Canis lupus familiaris: one gene and its partners. The protein of the gene in region 4 purifies or fractionates together with the protein of the main gene of each other region. This does not show direct contact. Links are inferred from orthologs where the notes say so. Each region holds a gene or a part of one and is shown on either strand. Other genes may lie near its edges.

Region 1 (4,925 bases), on a different chromosome or scaffold from region 4:
AGATGACCAAAGTTCTGAATATAAACTCTAGAAACTATTTAATTTTAGAAGGTAATTAAAAAGCAACTTAAGGCAGGGTGATTTTAAAATATTAAATGGTATTTTCCATTTTTCTCCAAAAAGAGAAACATCTCTCTAAATGTAGGTAGTTATGTCCTCTTCTAGTTCTAAGGTCACCCAATCCCTATTTTTTATACATCTACCAAATAGGCTATAATCACTTCACACAGAAAATGTCAAAACAAAAAACAAACAACTAAATGAGAGCAAATGGGAATAGGACTTTCAGGATTCTTTTTTTAAACCTAACTTGAAAGGGACTATCAAGCATCTATCCCCCAAAAGCATAAGCCAGCCTTCCCATAATAGCAGGCAACTGTCAAAGAATATAAGCTCAATAAATGTTACCTGACTGACACAGCCTTAAAAACTACAGTCATTTAATAATGATCTAAACCTAGGCATCCAATTCAGGTCTTAGTGATCTTCTGGAAAAGCTAAGGTCTCTAATAAATCATTTAAATTCTTGAGGTTTCAGTCACAACAAAAATGGGCTCACCACCTTTTCTACATCATCAACCTCCTCACTCTGGTAGTCAGAAACAACATCCACAATCTCATCAATAGAATCATCGGTTTTCTCATTCTCATCTTCCTCGTCCTCATCTTCCAAATCCAAAAGAGTCAAGTCAGCACTGCTTCGCCCACCCTTCGTCTCTTGCTTTGGTTGTATCTGTTCTGACAGCAGTAAGTGACCTTGAAAATGTCCTTCCCCTCTGCTCCCTTTTGTAGCTCTCCTCGGAACAATGGAGAAGGCTGTAGGACTAGAAATCCTACTCCAAGAATCACATTCAGTTTTTAAAACTCTGACATTTTCAGTAGTTCCACTTTTTCCAAGTAGATCAGGAATGCCTTCTTGTTGAAACATATCAGAATTTTCCTGACAAGTCTTTATTTCTTTAATTAACTGCTCATCTGCCTCTTTCTTGCATTCTTGTGAAGTTCCAACACATTTCTGGGTCAGAGGGCCCTTTGGGTGTTTTCTCCATCTCTCCCTAATATCGTCCTTTTCCAGAGAGTCTCCACATCCCTTCTCCTTGCCCTCTGGCTGTGGAATAGATTGCTGCTCCACAACTTTGTTGCCTGATAATTCAATTTTACTGTCTTCCTTAGAGATGATTGGAAATTCATTCGATTTTTTCTCTGGATTTTCTAATCCTTTCTGCTGTTCCACTTTTACATCACCAAGCTTTTTAAGCTGTACACTATTTACACTTTGGACTGTCACATTGCTGGCTTTTTTGGAAATAGTCTTAACTTCTAGGAGAGTCCGCTTTTCTTTGGAACTATTTTCATTTCTAACCCCATACTCTTCATCATCTTTATAGTCTTCACCTACTATGTGTGAAGCAGTGATACAGGAGGGCTGAGAAGGTTTAACAGTTATAGGACCCTCTTCTGTAAGGGATTCTTCATCTAAATGATCACCCCCATCTCCCAAGGAATCATGTAGGATTTCTTCTGAGGCAGCAGCTCCTGAGTTTTGCTTTATTATATTAGCTTCAGAATCTATAGCTTCTCCTTCTGACTGTAGAGTCTTCTTAGTGTCCTGCTGCTCTCTTTTCAAAAAGCTTGTTTCATCTTTCTGGTCTGCACTCTGGGACTCTCTCTTCATCTGAAGAGAAGCAACATGTTGAAGAATGGAACTGGGAACAGGCTTTTGTCCAGGGAGCTGCAACAAAGCAAAACTACCAGACTGGAGAGGAATAAGACTGGCTGTACCAACAGGCTGCCCTCCTGAGCTATAGGTTATTTTGGTTTCAGAGCCTGCTTTACTTGCAAAGCTTTGTGGTTCAGGAGGGGAAATCCTCAGGGTCAATGTACCAGACTGAGACACAAAACTAGGTCCAGAAGAAAGCAATGATGGTGCCTGAGTGATAACATTCACTGCTGGAGAAGACCCAACAGCTTGAATTACAGGATTCATAACAGAGAAAGCAGAGGATGAAGCAGAAGATGGTGGAGTCTCTGAAGGTTTGGAAGGAGTGGGTAACCGGATTCCCATCACAGAGCCTGGTAAGAAAAAAAATTTTTTTGAATTATTACCACTCCATATCAAGATTCCCAAGCATATGCTTTTCTTTTTGGACTGGTTAACTCAAAGAGACTAAGAAATCCTGGTGTATTAACAAGCCATATGGCCAAATGATTCAACAAAAGAAAAATTCATCAGAAAGATCTCCAATTTTATACCTGGGTTCCGAAACATGACAGGCTGTAAGTTGGGCTGGGTATTAGAGCCTCGAAGCTGATGCAAAGGGAGTAGCTGAACAATCTGCCCATTAGGATGCCTGAATAGATTCATTCCACTTGGGCTCCTAACAGGCTGCAAGACCATCCGATGCCCCTGAAGTTGTGTGTTTGGGACAGGTCTAAGAGTAGGAGAACCTTGCTGCACTGGAATCAGTAACAATCGAGGTCCAGTACGTTTCACTGTGTTAGGAGAGACCTGGGGAGTAGCCACTGGAATCTGAGGGGCATTTTCTGAAAAACAGGAAATGGAAACATAGTATCAGAGAATTTCCCCTTTAATACATGTAGGAAAAAATTATTATGACATAGGATTTGACCACATTACAGATAACTTCTAATTTGATTTATATAGTTGGTGAAATCCTACATCTCTATCATACATTACTTAATAGTCCTATGGCTGAGAACAATTTATCTTAAAACCAATTATCAACCAGACATTGTAGGTCCTTACATTCAGAATGGTTTAAAAAAAAAAAAAAAGGAAGAGAGAGACAGAGAGAGCTCGTGCATCAATTGTCAAGAGGTGCATTTAAAGAAACAATGCCTCTGCCTAATGAAAAACACAGCAGGTCTTTAAATCTGGATTCTCATTAAAATTAAACAGGTCATTCTTTATAAAATTCTCTTCTTCAACCTTGTAATTCAGGTTGTTAACACTTACTAGAATTATGACTTCATTTCACAGGTCATACTCAAGTAAGATAAAGTCAAGGACTAAAAGTCATGAGGCATAAAAAAATTCCTTGGCTTTTAAAATTCACTGACAAATAAAGCATAAAGATCTGTGGAAATTATTTTTCAGAAGGAAAAAAAAAATACATACCCCCAAAAAATGGAATGAAATTAAGAGACATCAAAGAAGCAGGGAAATAAAGCCTGGTTAGGAAGAGGCAAAAGATAGTTTTAAAACAAACAGAAAAAGCAAAAATTTAATGCAGAAGATGTGAATTTAAAAAAATTTCAAACCATTAATAGCATCTAAAGACCCACTTTAATGTTTGGAAGAGATATTTAGAAATACTGAAGACACAGAAAAAAAGATTATGAGTAGTCTACAGATTTTGGCCATGGGGATAAAAAGGAGTAGCGATAATAGCAAGCAAAAAGGAAACTAACATTAACATTCAAATTAGTGAACTTAGTTAATATTATTAAACATTTTTATTAGTTTGTCACTAAATAGAAAAATCAAACAACCAACCAAATCAGTTTAACACGTGACATTCTATTAGATAAGAACTCATACCCACAAAATGTATCAGGTAAGCACTCTACCCACAAAAATATCAAACTTGTAAAAGGAAGTTATGCTCCTAACGTTTACATGACAAATTATATATAAGATCCAAAACTATTCTTAAAAATAAAATGCAAAGACCAAACTGTTCAGGGCAGGGCAGGGTGGGGCAGGGCGGGGAGGAGTATGCAATTTAAACAAAAAACATTTATCTTATGTGAATTAAAAAACACGTTAAAACATTCTTAATTTCCTGAACATTTCTATTCAAAAAACATTTTAGAGAGTGATTCAATTCCAAAGTACTCTAATTCAGAGAATGAAAGCAGCCTTTAGCACATACACTAAATATGTGATTATTTATTCACATGCAGGTAAGGGGAAGAACGGAAAAGAGAAAAAGAAGGGAAGTTAAATGAAAAAGTCACAGATGTCTAAGTGCCCAAGTTGAGATCCTCTTTATAAACCTAGAACAAAATTACACATACCTAGAAATAGAAGTTACCAGAGTCAGCTCCACTTTTAAAAAGCAGGTAAGAAAATTTGTTAACATTAATAGTTCCTCAAGTGGTATTATGGAAAATATTCTTAGATGGATACAGAATAAGAATACCACCATATCACATTGTCAGAAAGTATTTTCTTTCTCAATTTGAATCTTCTGATTGTATACAGAAGAAAATACTAGTCTTTGATATCGTATCAGCATTTTCTAGCTTTCTTCATTAACAGAGTGCAAGCCACATGTTAACATATGGTAGCTAGCTAAAATATATTTCTTACTATTATTGTTTCTAGTGTATTTATGGAGTGAACCTCTGTTACTCAAATAATGTTGGTTTCCAATTACAGTAAAATTGCTCCTTTTAAAAATACATTTAAGGAAACAAAGGAGTTGACTTAAATAAAAATATTGAGTCAATAATAATACAAATGAGAATCAGAGCAAAATACCTGAATGTAAATTGAGGGACTGAAATCTGAGAACCAGTGAACTATAAAAAGCTAAACTACTTTATAGTTTCAAGATAGAATTAAAAAGGATAGAATCCGTAACATTTAGAACATCTGTTAAAATATGACAAGATATAAACCTTGGGATTCAACAGGAACTCGAAACAGCTTCAAACAATCTTATTTCTGAAATTACATCTTAAACTAACCATTTCTTATATGTTTACATATGGGAAGAAGAAGACAACCAATTTAATACCGTGATTCATTTATCCTTTCAAAAAACCTTCAACTTTAACTCCCAAGTCACTTCATTCCTAAAGTATCAATGGAGATTTGGACCATGTCACTAAAGGCAAAAATATTTAGTTGGAAAAATATCAATAGCCAAGACAGAATTATTGTTTATTATTTATTT
Region 2 (5,427 bases), on a different chromosome or scaffold from region 4:
AAGACTTCATCACGGACAGCCGCCCCCCCAAAAAAACAAGCCCTTTCTCGCCCTGCCCTCCTGGCCAGCCTCCCTTCGGATCACTGGATCCTTGGATGGCGAGGTGGGGGGGTGCTGTTAGGGCCAGGTAGTTAACAAGACCGTAGCCTCCACCTCCCTTTCTGAGGAGTGGGGTAATTCCAATGGTTCCCCCCCAGGATCAACCCGACCCCCGTTTCCATGGAGACCCCCGCCCAGCCAGGAAGAAGACTCTCAGATCGTGGCGAACAAGTCTCACCTGGCTAAGGGAGAAGGGGGTGAGGAGGGGGTAGGGTAGGGCAGGGACGGGGTACGAAGGTGGAAGTGGAGGGGAGCTGTCCCGAAGGGAGGGGCGAGGGCAGAGCGAGCTCCAGGGAGCGCTACGTCCGGGGACACGAAGAGGACGGCGCCCCCGGGGGGCAAGCGGAGCGGCCGCGGGGCGAAGAAGGGACAGGGTTGAGGAAAGGCTTAAGATAGAAAGAAGCGGGTGGGGGGATACGAAAAAGCCGGGGAGTCAAAAGGGGTGGAGGGATTGGGGGAGAGAAAAAAAAGACGCACCTGTTCCCGGGTCGGCTCCGCGGGGAGGCTCAGGCCGCCACCCGGGCTCCCTCTCACCCACTCTGAGCCTCCACCCGCCTAATACTGCCCCGATCTGATGCCCCCCTTCCGCCCCTTATCGCCACCGACCTCCTTCTCCTCTCTCTCGGCGGCGGCGGCGGTCGGACTCTAGGAACTGAGAGGAAGAAGGGAGGGCTCGGCAAAGCGGAGGAGAGACAGAGCCACACACTGGCAGCAGCCGCGGCAAGCGAAAGAGTGAGGGGGAGAGCGGTGTGTGTGTGTGTCTGTGTGTGCGAGCGAAGCCTGGTGGAGTGGGTGCCGGTCGCAGGGCTCGACGGGAAGTGGAGTCCGGCGGGGTTCGCGGGCGGCGCCAGCCGCCGCTCCACGGGACTACAACTCCCAGAATGCCACCTGTCGGGGGGGAGGAATGGGGAGGTGGAGGCGAAGGGAGGGAGCGAGCGAGAGAGGGAGGGACGAAAGCAGGGAGCAAGCGGCGGCGAAGGGGGCAGAGCCAAGCAGCCCCGGTGACACTGGGAGGGGAGGGGAGGAGGAGGGGATCGCTGCGAGGACCAAGCGGATTCCGGAGAGGGAGGCAGCAGCAGTGGCTGCAGCAAGCCGGGCAAAAAGCTAGACTCCCAGGAGAGGCGGAGGCGCTCAATCCTAGGGGCTGCAAGAGCCCCACGCCCCCAGCCCTCAATGCCCCTCGAATGAGAAGATTGAGGAAAGGAAAAGATCAGGGCGCTAAGGCCAGGGGTTTCTGTTTCTTTCCCCCCAAGGCTCTCCACCATATGCCCCGACCTGACTTTCTCAGGCCACTGGTGCCCGATCCAATGTGCAAATCCAGAGACCCCAGATCTCCCCTGTCGGGCAGCACAAAACAGACATTCAGTCCCCTTCTCCCAGGGACCTGAGGGAAGCCCCCTTGCTGGCAGGGCGTGACTCCCCCTTCTTCCCCGCCCCGGTCGTCGCCACCCCCCATGCCCCTCTCCAGAACCCTCCCCTGAAGCCTGGGCTCGCTTCTTCCTACCTCACAAGAAACGGAGTCCCTCCGGGGGCGACTACCCAGCCCCCTCCTTTATACTGGGTCGCTACCCACCAGTATCTCCTTAGCGTTGCCCCCCTCACCGAAGTAATAGTGGGGGCGACCCAAGTTGGATTGGTGGCTACTTTCTCTCAGAGACTAGCCGTCCTTGGCCACGCCGACCCTGTGTAGAGAAGAGAAGCACATTAATACCGCCCCCCCCCCAAAGTTCAGATCCCCGGGGAAAAGGCTTACAAGGAAAGTGGGGTTGGTAGTGGAAGTGAGCTGGGGGTGAATCTCAATCCTCAAACCTCGCTGTAGGCGTGGAAACCCAGGGATTCCTCCCTTTCCTTAGAAGCCATCAAATCGCTTGAGGGGGAAAAGGGGGTACGTTATCTTAACCCAAATGTCCACACGACTCGAAGCGACGCTACATATAGGAATAAGATACGAACTAGGCTGCTGCCGCGGGAGGGAGAGTATACTGCCGCCCCCGCCACGCCGTCGTCCACCCTCAAACACACACCCCTAGGGGAGTCAGATGGCCTAGGAAGTGGGGGGAGCCGGTGGGAGTGCAGGAGAGTGAAAGGGTTGTGGTAAGGAGGGTCCGCGGCCCCCTGAGAGCAAAATCCAGATGCTAGGAGGTGGGTGGGGGGTGCGGCATAAATGCAGACGGTGTCTTTCCTTGCTTTTCCCTGAATCGCCGCCAAACACCGTCTAACACTCGTAGTTGCTTACCAGTCAGTCCCCTAGCCCCATTTGTGCGCGTGAGGCGGCCGGAGCCCGGGAAGCCCGGGCACAAACTCCGCGGAAGCTGGCCTTCGCCGCCGCCGCGCCGCTGCGGGCCTCCCTCCCTCCGCTGTCGGCCCCGCGGATCTACCTTCGCCCCCGGCCGAGGCCAGACCCCGCTCGCAACTCCACGCCCCTACTCCACCCCCGGCTCCCCCCTTCGCCCTCTCCCCGCGGGTCCGGCCCAGCCCCTAGCGCCGCCCCGCCCTACCGCTCGGTCCCCAGCCCAGCAAGTGCCCCGAACTCGCCCCCCGCCCCCACGCCCAGGCCAGTCCGGCGGGGCCTGGTTTCCCCCTCCCGCCGCGCCCCGCCCCCGAATCCACGTCCTACTTCGCCACCCAACTCGGCCCGGTCCGGGTTCGGCCCGCGCCCAGGCCACTGGAGTCTCTGGTTCGGTCCAGTGTACGGCCACCCACCCCGCCCTTGCCTGGGTGCCGGCCTGGCCCGCTGCCTGCGCCCGCCGAGCCGGCCCAGGCGCGCGGTCCGGGTCTGGCTCCCGGTGCCGGCCTCGGTCCCAGCGGCGTTGCCGCGTCTCGCCACGAGGGCTCGGTCCACGCAAGATCTGAACCCGCGCGGGGTGGGGGCCGCGGAAAGCAAGTTTCTTTATCTTCCCTCCGCCCCCGCCGCAGGGCCGCGCCATCCCCCACCCCCCACGGCGCCCCTTCACCTGGGCAGAGCCCCCCCGGCCGCTGTCGCAACTTTGCTCTTCTCCACGCCGCCGGGGAAGCGGGCGAAGCGAGAGGAGGAGGGAGGTGGCGGGGGGGTGCTGGGATCAGGCCTCTGGGCTCCGGGAGGACACGTGGGGGAGGAGGGGAAGGAGGAGGAGGAGGAAGGGGGGGCGGGCCTGCAGTTCTCGGGGCTCCCCCTGCCAGCCCCGGGGAAGCCGGAACCTCTCCGGGCAGCCACAGACCCCGCACTGGCCACGAGGGAAGAACGGAGCCACCTTCCCCGGCCAGCCCCCAGCTCCAGGAAGGGGGGGGCGGAGAGCAACGCCGCTCGGGGTCGGAGAGCGAGCGTTTTCGCTCGTGCTTTATGTGTGACTCTCTATCTCCGTTTAGCCTCCGTATATGGGGGGGCGTGGGGTCTTGCATGCAAGGGGCGGCGCGCGCCCGCCGGACGCCCCGCCCCTTCCCCGGCCCCCCACTTCCCTAACCCGGGCGACCTCGGTGCAAGGCTCTGGCGCTCGTGCACCGAGGCCGCCCGCGGGCGCAGCCCCAGCCCCGGCGCCGAAGTGGGACAGGTGCCGGGGAAGGGGAAATGCCGGGGCTCGCTGCCTTGCCTCGCGTCTCCCGAGCGGCCCACCCTTCGTGGCAACCTTCGGTGCTGCAAACCCTCTGGGCTGCTTTCAAAGGATAGCCCCTGGCCCGAGCGTGGAGGCACCTTTGGGGAGGGGGTGCCTGGAGCGAGAGGCCCGAGGGAGGAGGGAGGAGGGAGGAGGGAGGAGGAGGGGGATGAAAGGTCTGTAAATGGGGAAGCCTGAACGACTTGGGGCCGAAAACCTGGCTCGAGGAAAACTCTTGGCTTCTGCCCGCTCCCCCCCCCCCACCCTCCCAGGTTCCTCAGTCACCAAACCGAGCCCCCTTGACCCTTACCCTTTACTCTAATGACTCCCCGCCTGGCCAAAGGAATAAATCCTCATATGTGTTTACATCCCAGGCCATCCTGCCAACCCCAGGACTGAAGAGCTGAAAAGCCTGCGGTCCACATTGGAACTCTGATGGCTTTACATTAACTCCGAGGAGGAGAGTAGCTTGCGAAGGAGCTGAAGCTAACGGCAGACTTGCTTTCAGTATTAGGGTGTTTCTTAGCAGCTCCAACCCTGAACCCGTGGTTGGGACTTCAAAGGCATCGCCTCAGCATAGAGGGTATTCGGGGAGGTGCCCAGCAGTTCCTGGAGGGTTCAGGGCTTTGTAAACACGGAATGCAAAATGAATAGCAGGAATTTGAAAAAAAAATCTTTATGTGCAGATATATTGATATTATTTATTATATATTTATCTATACTAAGGAAGCCAGAGGGTCATTTGGACTAGAAGGAAGCCCTGATGGATTAATGTCTTCCTCCTCCTCCTCCTCCCTGCCCCCCTCTTTTGTCCCAGGCCCACAGAGGTTCCATCTCTAAGCTATGGGGTGTCTTCTTTCTGTTGAAAGGACTTTAGAGATGGCAGGTGAGACTTGCCGGTTATGTCTCCCTCACCTGGTTTAAAGGAGGAGTATTGTGGAGGAGGGTAAGCCACAAAGGTAGCAGTGGCTTTTCTGTTGTCTAAGGCCTGGTGTTCTGTGACCCCTCTGGATTGTCCTCAACAGCCTCAAAATGTACTGCCAGCAACGTGAACATATCACTTGCCATTTTGCTTGCTTTGGGAACTTCTTCCCTAGCTGTCTTACTTGGTCATTCCCACCCTCCTGTACATACTCCGCCCCCAACACACACACACTTTAAAAAATGTTTGACCTAAGTTGCACCAAGGGAAAGTGAAAATTTGAAAAAGATTCCTTTAAACTAATCAACATACAAATTCTAAAGGTATTATTAAGGTCGGAGGGATCACCTCTATTGGGCCTAATAATGCAGGCCCCACCGATTCTGCTTTGATTTAAATTAGCTGTCTTTGCTGATTTTAATTCATCTGGTAATTACTAAATTTCCACTTCTCTTAAGGGTCTTGGGGCCCTGGGGCTACTTTTTTCTTTGCTTTGAGGCTGAAATGGATTCTGGACACCTCTGTTCTCCATTCATCTGTATCTCACCATTTGGCTGCATCATTTATCTGGTGAAATGAACATTGGGGCAAGATGGTTATTTCCTGGCTCAAGCTCCAGCTTCTCTGAGCCCTTCCTGTTGGGGGCCACACTTCCTGCCCTATGGGAGGTGATGGGAAATCAAGGAGCAGGGTAGGGAGAGCTGTGGGAAACCTTGTAAAGAGTAGAGATTAATGATTATTTTATTTGAGGCTAGAACCACAACACAATCATAATAATACCCTTGTACAATGTCAGGATGTCTACAAAGCCCTTCCACTTGTGTTATTTCATTTGTT
Region 3 (5,708 bases), on a different chromosome or scaffold from region 4:
ACCTCAACACGGGGGCTCGATTCCAGGACCTTGAGATCATGACCTGTGCCGAAGGCAGACGCCCAGCCAACTGAGCCACCCAGGTGCCCTCTTACTTCTAATTCTTATAAAACCCAATGAGGCAACCCTGTTATTTCTACTGTACAAAGTAAAACCTACACTCTTTATCATGCTTGATGTTGAGTCTTGTTTATTCCATATTCCATTTGGAATAATGAAAATTTTCAAGTTGAATGAAAGTAACAATCCAGTTTACTTGATGAAGAAGGTGAAGCCCGGAGAAGGAAAGCCCAAGTCTCCTCATGAAGGTACTGGGCCTAGAACCCTGCTGGTGGTAAAACAAAACAGTTCACACACACACAAAGCAAAAACAAAAAAAACAAAAAACGAAAAACCCACAAACAGTTCACAAGAGTCAGAGGAGCAAGCTACCTAATCCAGCACTCTGACTTTAAGAAGGTTGGAATCCTTAGACTTATTATCTATCTCTTTAGCACCTAGTAGATGCTAGGCTCTGTTCTTGGCTCGGGAAAAAGAGTAGAGAACAAGACAAAGTCCCTGCCCTTATGGGGCTTACATTCCAGTGGTGCGAGATAGACAATAAAGAAATAGACAAGTGAAGAAGATAATTTCAGACAGGAACAAGTATTATAAAGAACTGTAAATTGGGTGAAGGGATACTGAGTGAGGGGAAAGAAAAGCTATTCTAAATAAAGTTCTGAGGAGGTGACTTTGAACTGAAATTTGAGAAATGAAGAACCATCTCTGAGAAAAGCCACAGAAAGAATGCCCCACAAAGAGCATCAAGTGCAAAGGCGTTGAGGCAAACTCAAGCTTCGCAGTCAAGAAGTGAGTGGATGGATGCAGTGAGAGGTGGAGAGGGTAGCACAGAAGCAGGGTTTGTTCTTTTTTTTCTTTCTTTTTTTTTTTTCTTTTTTTTTCTAATATTTTATTTATTCATGAGATACACGAGAGGCAGAGACACAGGCAGAGGGAGAAGCAGGCTCATTGCGGGGAGCCTGATACAGGACTGCATCCCAAGACCCATGGTATCATGACCTGAGCCAAAGGCAGACACTCAACCACTGAGTCACCCAGGTGCCCAGTACAGCAGCTGGTTGAAGAGAAAACTGGGGCCAGGTCATTCAGGGGCTTATGGAATGTTTGAATTTTTTTGAAAGTGCAGGGGGAAGCTAATGGAGGTTTTAAGCAAGGGGATGAACATGATCTGGCTTATGATTTAAAAGATCACCTGTATTAAAGAAAGTGAAAAGTCAAACAGGGACCTGTTTGAGGCCTATTGTGCTGGACTGGTGGCTTCCATGAGGGTGATAGTGGAGGAGGAATTCAGGATACATTTTGGCTGTAGAACCAACAATACTGGTTGATAGCATGAATATGGGGTTGGTGGCAGAAGGAGTTAAAGAAAAGAAAAATCAAAGACTTTCACATCTATGTGGTGGACCTCAAATTTAGAAATATTTTTAACATATATTCAGCCTCCATTTATTACATTTAGATTCTTTTTTTTTCTTTTGTCTATTTTTTTTCAGTTTATTTTTTAAAAATCTCTACACTCAGTGGAGCTCCAACCAATGATCCTAAGATCAAGTGCCTCAAGATCCTCTGACTGCGCCAGTCAGGCGCCCCTACATTTAGATTCTTTTTTTTTTTTTTTTTTTTTTTTTTTTACATTTAGATTCCTAATTCATTAGAGCACCGCATAGCACAGGGAAAGAACCTGGACTAAACCTTAAATTCCAATTCTTAGGTTCCAATTCCAACCTTAAATCCCAATTCCAAAGAGCCACAGATTCATCTTTAATAGGGTGATGGGCTGTCTCCAGATTTGAGCTGTTGTGTAAAAAGCTCCACCAGAGCACCTAGAACTGAGTGTTCAAGGAGGTTGTGAGACATCCAAAATGAGGGAGGCAGAGTGCCTCATACTCGAGGTTTTATTCAGGGGATGATGATGGAGGGACAATGTTACAGGATTTGGAGCATGTGAGGCATTTATAGCACTGGGCATAAGAGCAATCCGCTTTCTGCCGGAATTGGAAATGCGTTTCTTTGCAAGTCGTCCTGGCCCAAGGGCACCTTAAAATTCTTCTAATCTGTCATTCCTGGTGCCTAGAACAGCACCTATCGTACGTGCTCAAGAATTGTTTGCTAAAGAACGGAGTAGGGCTGAGAGGTGGAGGTTAGCGCAGAGAAACGAGGTCTGCCGCAGTGCCGCAGGGATTTTCACATCGCTATAGCAACGCACCCTTCCACGCGCACCCACAGGGGAACTACAAGTCCCACAAGTACCCGCGGCTTCCCCGCCCCCCCCGGGGCTGGGGCGCGGGCGAGCGCGGAACCGGCTTTTCCTTTTTCCTGCAACGTGATTGGCCCGCGGCTCTGGGAGGCGGCCAATGACTGCGCTCAGGAAGAGCCGCGAGGCCAATATGGCTTCCTGCACCTGGTGACGGTTGAAGAAACGGGTGTTAGGTCTCATGGAGAAGACGCGGGGCGTCGAGGTGAGAGGGGGAGGATTTATCGTGACCGGGAAAGGGAAGCCCTTGAGCCTCGCACGGGGGGCCGTTCTCGAGGCCTTGGGGCGACGCCTGGAGGGTGGAGAGTGGAAGGATGGATAAACTGAGGTAGTTAGGCTGAGCAGGGCCAGAGGCGATTGGCGTTGCCTTTTGCGCCCACACCGCTGGGGCCGACGTCCCGCGAGTAGGTCGGGGCGGAACAGCCTCCCTGGCCTGCGGGAACGGGAACTGGGTTCAGGATCTGGGAGCTCCTGGATCTTCTTTGTCCTCCCTCTCTCTGGTCGTTTCTTTGGGGATCAGGAGGCCTGTGACATCCTGGTGGGACGTGAGGGAGATTCAAGTTTCCTGCCACTGCGTGTCTGGAGCGTTCACGGGCATTATCGCCCGGGATACTCACAACAATCCTGTGTCACTGTTTCGTTGTTATGGTTGGAGTAGCCGACGCTTACAGCCAGATGGTGCCCCCCAGGAGGGCCACCCAACCGCAGCGGGAAGGAGATGGGCACCCAGTCGTTCAGGCTCCCCAGCCTTTCCCACTCTCCTGCAACCTGTAACCCACTCACCCCTGGGTCACTTGGCTTCTGGTCACCTTGTATTTAAATTCGGTCTCTTCTTTAGCACATTTGGGGACGTAGTTGTAAACCTGAAAATGGAATAGCCCCCAAACTGTAAAGGGTAAAGGAGAATAAGCACTCACGCGTTTACAGCCCTCCCTAATGGCTAGAAACAACTAGGCTTTACACATCTCAGTCTTCATTCGAGTTATCTGAAGAAGGCCTGCTGTTACCTCTCTTGTACTGATGAAGAAACTGAAGAAACAGGCTCAGTATGTTGCACAAAATCACAATTGAGTGGTAGAGCCAGGATTCAGGCAAATCTGGTTGAAAAGCCCCATGCTTTTACCCAGAAATAATTGCCAGTATGTCTTGAATACTTGCAAGGCACTGTTTTGAGTACAACACTTATATTCACTCTTATTTCTCCCGCAAAGCTTCTGAAGGAGGTAGTTTCCTCATTTACAGAGGTGGGAACTGATGCACCAAGAGACTGACTTGCTGCAGATCATACAGCTGGTCAGCGGTAGAGATGGTATTTGAGCCCTGGCCTAGGACCTTTTCTACTACATTCCTTCCAGGTGGATTGATAGACAGTATCTCATTTACATTTCACATCCTGTGAGCTACTTATTTCACAGATCAAAAAGTTGAGGCCCAGAGGAGTTAAATGACTTGCCCAAAGACCCACAGCTAGTTAGGATTGGAGCAGAGTCCAGAGCTATGGTACATACATACACTGTGCGATAACTAGTGTGTCCTCTGTCTCCTAGATCCTCCTCAGGGTAGGATCCGCGTCCCAAATTGACTTTTCTGTGGCTGAAATGGTTTCCGAATTGACACTGTGTTGATGTACATATGCTGAAGGGGGGAAGTTGATTTTCTAACATACATCTTCCCCCAGAAAGTCTTCATGAGATAACAGAGTATTTTCACATCATCGTATTCTATTTGAATCAAGTTAAAACATCATCATTTATAAATACACAGGAGGAGCTTGGTGAATTCCTGATATTACCTGTTTTGTTAAACTATCCTGATGAGTTTCAGTTAAGAACTATATAAACAGGAGTAATGATCCTGGTGTTTGCAAAAGGGATATTTGATTCTGCCTGCCACTTGGTCCAAAGGTGTTGACCAAGACCTGGAAAAGATGCTGGTAGCTGACCTGCATCCTTCTTCCCCATACACTAAGCTAGACCTGATTCCTCCAGCCTGGTTTGTGTCATCCTTCCACTAGGAGACTCCATCTTCAGAACCTATGGAAGAGGAAGAGGAAGAGGAGGACGACTTGGAGCTCTTTGGTGGCTATGACAGTTTCCGGAGCTATAACAGCAGTGCGGGCAGTGAGAGCAGCTCCTATCTAGAGGAGTCAAGTGAAGCAGAAAATGAAGATCGGGAAGCAGGGGAGCTGCCCACCTCCCCGCTGCATTTGCTCAGTCCTGGGACTCCCCGCTCCTTGGATGGCAGTGGTTCTGAGCCAGGTGCTTTCAGAGTGTCCCCTGAAGACGGGGAGGTTTCAGGAGGCTATAGAGGAAGAGGGGAATATAGGCCATGTGGGCAGAGCCATCCAGGTGTAAAAAAAGCTGTTTGATCTTAAGTCTAAGGGCCTATGAACTAGACAGAAGTAGCCCCAAGGGACTACTACTAATTTCCTTTGCTGCAGTCTGATTTCAAATGACTATTTCCTTTGTTCTTTCATACGACTAATACTTATTTGGCACACGTTAGATGCCAGTCATTAATATGGTACTGCTTTTACATTTGTGTGAATAGGTGCTTGATTTTTAAGCCTGGATGGCTTTTGTTTTGTTTTCTTTTTTATTTATTCATGAAAGACAGAGGCAGAGAGAGAAGCAGGCTCCATGCAGGGAGCCCAACATGGGACTCGATCCCGGGTCTCCAGAATCACACCCCGGCCTGCAGGCGGCGCTAAACCGCTGTGCCACCAGGGCTGCCCTTAAGCCTATGCTCTGATTTACTATCTGGGAAAGGACAAGAAATAGTTTGTGGGTTGGACGTGAGGGGGGAAATTAAAGAAGGGTGGAAATTAAAGAATCAAGTGACTTCCTGGGGAAAGAATTACTGATGAGACTCCTCATGGAGCATCTGGAAGCCAGTTAACTTCGGAGCTGTGCTGTTTGGACAGCTTCTGGATGGATTCCTGTGTCAGGGCCCCCAGTGTGTGGACTGCCTGTGAAGAGAGATGGGCTAGATGTCCGTAAGGAACAGACCCTGTTCCTTAGTGCCTGCACTCTTTAGAAGAGTGATCTAATACTCTGCCACTTTTCCTTTCCATCTACTTGTCTTCTCTTCCTCCTTCCCCCACACCACCCTTTTAATCTTCTATCTTCTTCCAAACATTCTCGTAGAATCTTAGAACTTTGGAACTAGAACCATTAGAGACCGTTGAGTCCAGGGGTTCTCTCTCGTGGCTGTCCATTAGGATCACCAGTAAATTAGACTCTCAGGCTTGGATATTTTTTAAGCTACTTAGGTGATTCTAATACAATGTTAGAATTGAAACGTTGATCTAGTTCAGTTTTTTTATAGATGAGAAGAAAAGAGATCCACAGAAGTCAGGTGATGTGGGCACTGTTTTTCTTCTTGTTTTCCTCTT
Region 4 (3,716 bases):
CTGAATTATAAAGCTAAATAATCAATGTTTTATTGTTTACTACTCTGCTAGTAAACATTACAATAATGAACGTTTTAAAAGATAAACAAAAACAAAGATAAAACCAGAAACATAATTCAGGAACAATAATTTAGTAAAATGTGTCAAAAACATTGGCAACGGTTCATACAAATTCTTTATTTAATAACAATTTTTCCTATTTAACCACACCAAGTACCAGCAGGTGTATTTAAGAGGATAACCATTAAGAAAATCCTGTTGCAGCAATAGTTGATTAAGTTGATCTTTGACTTGTATACATATAACTATTTGTTTCACAATTCTCAAATAATACATATTTAGGCAGCTTGCACTATGTTATAAAAATTTAAATTCGTTACATGCCAATAGTAGAGAATTCAAGAATTATGTGTTAGAATTCACTAAACTAAAAGTGAAAATAGACTTACCAATAACACTGCATAATGAATAATTCAACCACATTTTCATGGCACCTTGAACTGTGGAGACCAAAATGTCAAGTCTGAAAATGTTTGGTAAGCATAGATTGCAATAAAGTCTAACAAATTCTAACAAATTTCTATTCTGTGTAAAACGCAAATTATGGATTGTGCGTGAATGTTTGTCATGAAAATGTGGTACTTCTTGGCATAATCTGTGTATTTGCATGTTATGACAGAAGTGACTAAGAAATTGGAGAAAATAAACTTTAATGAGATTCTCCATTCAATGATGAGGCTTCTCCTCTGGGTGAAGATGACCTGGACATTCCCCTCTCTGTATTATCAGAGCTAGAGCCACTCTGACTGTGTTGATCTGCAGAAGCAGCACTAGATGCAGGCGGTGACTTCGTTTTCTCCTTAAAGTCTGTAATAATGACTGTCAGATCTCCAACGGTAACTTCCAAATGCTGAGCACTACTCCGATCCACATTTTTCAATCTTGGCCTAAATACAAAAGATGGTAAAATTTTAAACTCTCTTCTCTCTACCAACTTTCAAACATATAATGCATAAATTGTGTAAGAATAACAAAATGAATACATCTATATTTAAAGCTCCAGATTCATAAATAACTAGCCACAAAAATATAATTAAATGTTTCAAATCATTAACGTTAATCGAACCCATCAATGATGAATCTTCTTCAACATGACAAACTGATACCCTGGAAGCAATGGTCTCTTAATTGTGCTTTTATAGCTTTATCATAATTTTTCAGATAGCTAATCAATTTTACTAAGATAAATGTTTTAGGAAAGCAATGACATAGTTGGATCACAGAGTAAGTTGGTAACAGTTAAGGCTGTGTTATACGTAAGGCTGTTATTCCAGAGATGTGCACTGTTAAAAGCATCATGATTATCTGTTCTGCTTGTATCCATGAAGATTTTAACTGCTTAAAGCCCATGCAAATATCTGTTCGGTACTGTGAATATCACTCTTGGCTTCATGGTTGGAAAAGAATAAGCTCAAACACAAATGTCTTTGAATCTAGTAAACAAAACAAAAAGCAAAAGCAAAAGCAAAAGCAAAAGAAAAAGTAAAAGTAAAAGTAAAAGAAAAAGAAAAAGAAAAAAAGCATCCTTACATTTAAGCGTATAATGGTGGCCTCTGTGTTTAATTTCTAATCTATCTCTCAAACTCAGAAAAACATGATATTTTATAATAAAGGAGCTGAAATCTTTTATTTCCACTTTGTATAAGAATATATCAATGTAAAAAAAAGAATGTTAAATGGTTCATTTTATTATTTCACAAGTGCCATAAAACACTCTTCAAATTTACCTGGTTTTCTTATGACTGTTCTTTTTGCTAGTTGTTTCCTTTTCACTTTTTTCTTTTTCTACTTTATCTTTTTTCTCTTTCTTTGACTGTGTAGGGGGCACAAACTGCTGAGTAACCTGCTGGGCAACCAACTGGGAGACAGGTCGAGGCTTCCTGTGCGCATGTTAAAAAGAAAGGTTTTTTTTTTTATTATAACTAAGAATATATATTCTTTATGAAAATAGCTCAAATTTTAGATATATGACATGATTTTCAAATAAAAAAATTCTTCATGTGAGATAATATGCAATTTAACAGATTTTACACACATACACACACAAATTATTGTCTTTCCTATCTAACAAAAAAGAACTATAATAACAGCAAAAGTTATAGCCCAAAATATATGGTCACACCATTAAAATATAACCATTACATAAATCAATGTGAAAATTATTAAAAAAGTATATCAAACTGAATGCTTATAGGGCAGCACACATATAAACAAACATGAATCCTAAAATTAAACTTAAAAATTTATACTGAAATAATGTTTACATTATCCCTTCTCTCTCATAGAAGGAAATATTTAACCATCCGTGACAATGGCTATTTATTCTTTCCTCTAAAATCTTTCATTTATTCATTTAATAAATATTTGAGTATTAAATTTTCTCACTCTTTATTGCTAAAATTTCTTGAGGTTCCTTATATCTCTAGCCACAATCTTGCCATGCTTTTTGTGACCCTGACAATCTGCCCAGTCCTTTGAGACTTGCCTACTTACTCACTTATTCATTTAAAAAATACTGAAAACCTATTGTAGATATTGCGCCAAGATATCTGAAATGTTGTTTGGCTTCACCCTTTGGTGCCAGTACAAAGCTGTGACTCCACTGACCCAGGGTCAAGGATCCCTCCAGCTTTATGGTAGAACATGGGAAGTGAGGTCAAGATTCAAAGTAAACAATCTCTAAATTCTTAAACTGAGAGACAGAAAGAAGACTGAGGAGGAGAAGGAAGAGAAGTAAAAAAGTAAGGGAGAGGAAGATAAACATACATTTTTACAGACAGTCTACAAAAAACACAGTAATTTTATTGCCTGGAAAATCCTGACCCTATTTCAATCAGAATTATTAAAGGATCTTTCTGATATTGCTGTTCCTCTAAAACAAGACAAAATAGAAACCAATGAGAAAATACTGCACTGTCTACAATTCAAAGCTGTAAGGAGGAATCTTTTGAAGGAGTAAGTAGGAAACACAGCATATAAAAAACAGGTTTCAGTAGATGGATAATGAATTTTGTTTAAAGCCCACAGAGCCTAAAGTACAGAAGGAATATCCAAGAAAGATGTTCAGCATAATTTAAGAAATAGGGTTGATAAAAGTATCAGAGTTAATGATGTAGACTAAGAGTCACACAAATAAAAGTGATATTTAGCATGGTAATTAATGGCTGAGCTTGGTAAGGAAATAAATTTTCTAAAGAATAGATTAAAACAATGGTTCCTAAATTTAAGGTACATCAGGATCCCCTGGAGGGCCTGTTAATAGCTTGCTTAGCCCTACTCCCAAGGTTTCTAATTCAGTGGGCCCTAAGGTGGAGCCTAATTTGCATTTCTAAGTGGTTTCTCAGTTAGCTGATGCCTCTGATCTAGTCCATACTTCACAAAGAAGCTTGAAGAAGTACAATATATAGGTATTACGGTTGTATAAAGTTTGAGATGGAGAGTGGGGAGTGACAAGGGAATGGAAGAAAAAAAAAAGCAAGGCTAAATGGATGGGAAGGAATCCAATAATGAAGAGCTAAGGAGTGTGACTTACTCTTAAAAGATGGGAGATTGAGAAAAAAAAAAAAGGACGGGAGATCACAAAAGAATTGAATTTTACAAAGATTACTGGCACCGGCAGCAGTCTGAAGGGGAAAGGTACTACAGTGGCAGAGAAA

What was found.
Region 1: the proteins of YAF2 (region 4) and MGA purify together in Homo sapiens (affinity purification with mass spectrometry; 5 studies listed by BioGRID and IntAct, counting the BioPlex papers as one, with this or other methods). This does not show direct contact. The link is inferred for Canis lupus familiaris from reciprocal best matches to the Homo sapiens genes YAF2 and MGA.
Region 2: the proteins of YAF2 (region 4) and BCORL1 purify together in Homo sapiens (affinity purification with mass spectrometry; 5 studies listed by BioGRID and IntAct, counting the BioPlex papers as one, with this or other methods). This does not show direct contact. The link is inferred for Canis lupus familiaris from reciprocal best matches to the Homo sapiens genes YAF2 and BCORL1.
Region 3: the proteins of YAF2 (region 4) and L3MBTL2 purify together in Homo sapiens (affinity purification with mass spectrometry; 5 studies listed by BioGRID and IntAct, counting the BioPlex papers as one, with this or other methods). This does not show direct contact. The link is inferred for Canis lupus familiaris from reciprocal best matches to the Homo sapiens genes YAF2 and L3MBTL2.

Annotation. Positions count from the first base shown.
Region 1 is NC_049251.1:9,076,752-9,081,676, reverse strand, and holds part of MGA (MAX gene-associated protein), read right to left. Parts: intron 4,087-4,925; exon of another isoform or gene 3,928-4,086; intron 2,545-3,927; coding exon 2,254-2,544; intron 2,074-2,253; coding exon 563-2,073; intron 1-562. UniProt on the Homo sapiens protein: Functions as a dual-specificity transcription factor, regulating the expression of both MAX-network and T-box family target genes. Functions as a repressor or an activator.
Region 2 is NC_049260.1:102,046,957-102,052,383, reverse strand, and holds the start of BCORL1 (BCL-6 corepressor-like protein 1), read right to left. Parts: upstream 3,197-5,427; 5' UTR 3,054-3,196; intron 2,485-3,053; exon of another isoform or gene 2,336-2,484; intron 1,782-2,335; exon of another isoform or gene 1,604-1,781; intron 892-1,603; exon of another isoform or gene 706-891; intron 1-705. UniProt on the Homo sapiens protein: Transcriptional corepressor. May specifically inhibit gene expression when recruited to promoter regions by sequence-specific DNA-binding proteins such as BCL6.
Region 3 is NC_049231.1:24,974,702-24,980,409, reverse strand, and holds the start of L3MBTL2 (lethal(3)malignant brain tumor-like protein 2), read left to right. Parts: upstream 1-2,364; 5' UTR 2,365-2,495; coding exon 2,496-2,519; intron 2,520-4,328; coding exon 4,329-4,572; intron 4,573-5,708. UniProt on the Homo sapiens protein: Putative Polycomb group (PcG) protein. PcG proteins maintain the transcriptionally repressive state of genes, probably via a modification of chromatin, rendering it heritably changed in its expressibility.
Region 4 is NC_049248.1:34,804,403-34,808,118, forward strand, and holds part of YAF2 (YY1-associated factor 2), read right to left. Parts: intron 1,941-3,716; coding exon 1,788-1,940; intron 948-1,787; coding exon 710-947; 3' UTR 1-709. UniProt on the Homo sapiens protein: Binds to MYC and inhibits MYC-mediated transactivation. Also binds to MYCN and enhances MYCN-dependent transcriptional activation. Increases calpain 2-mediated proteolysis of YY1 in vitro.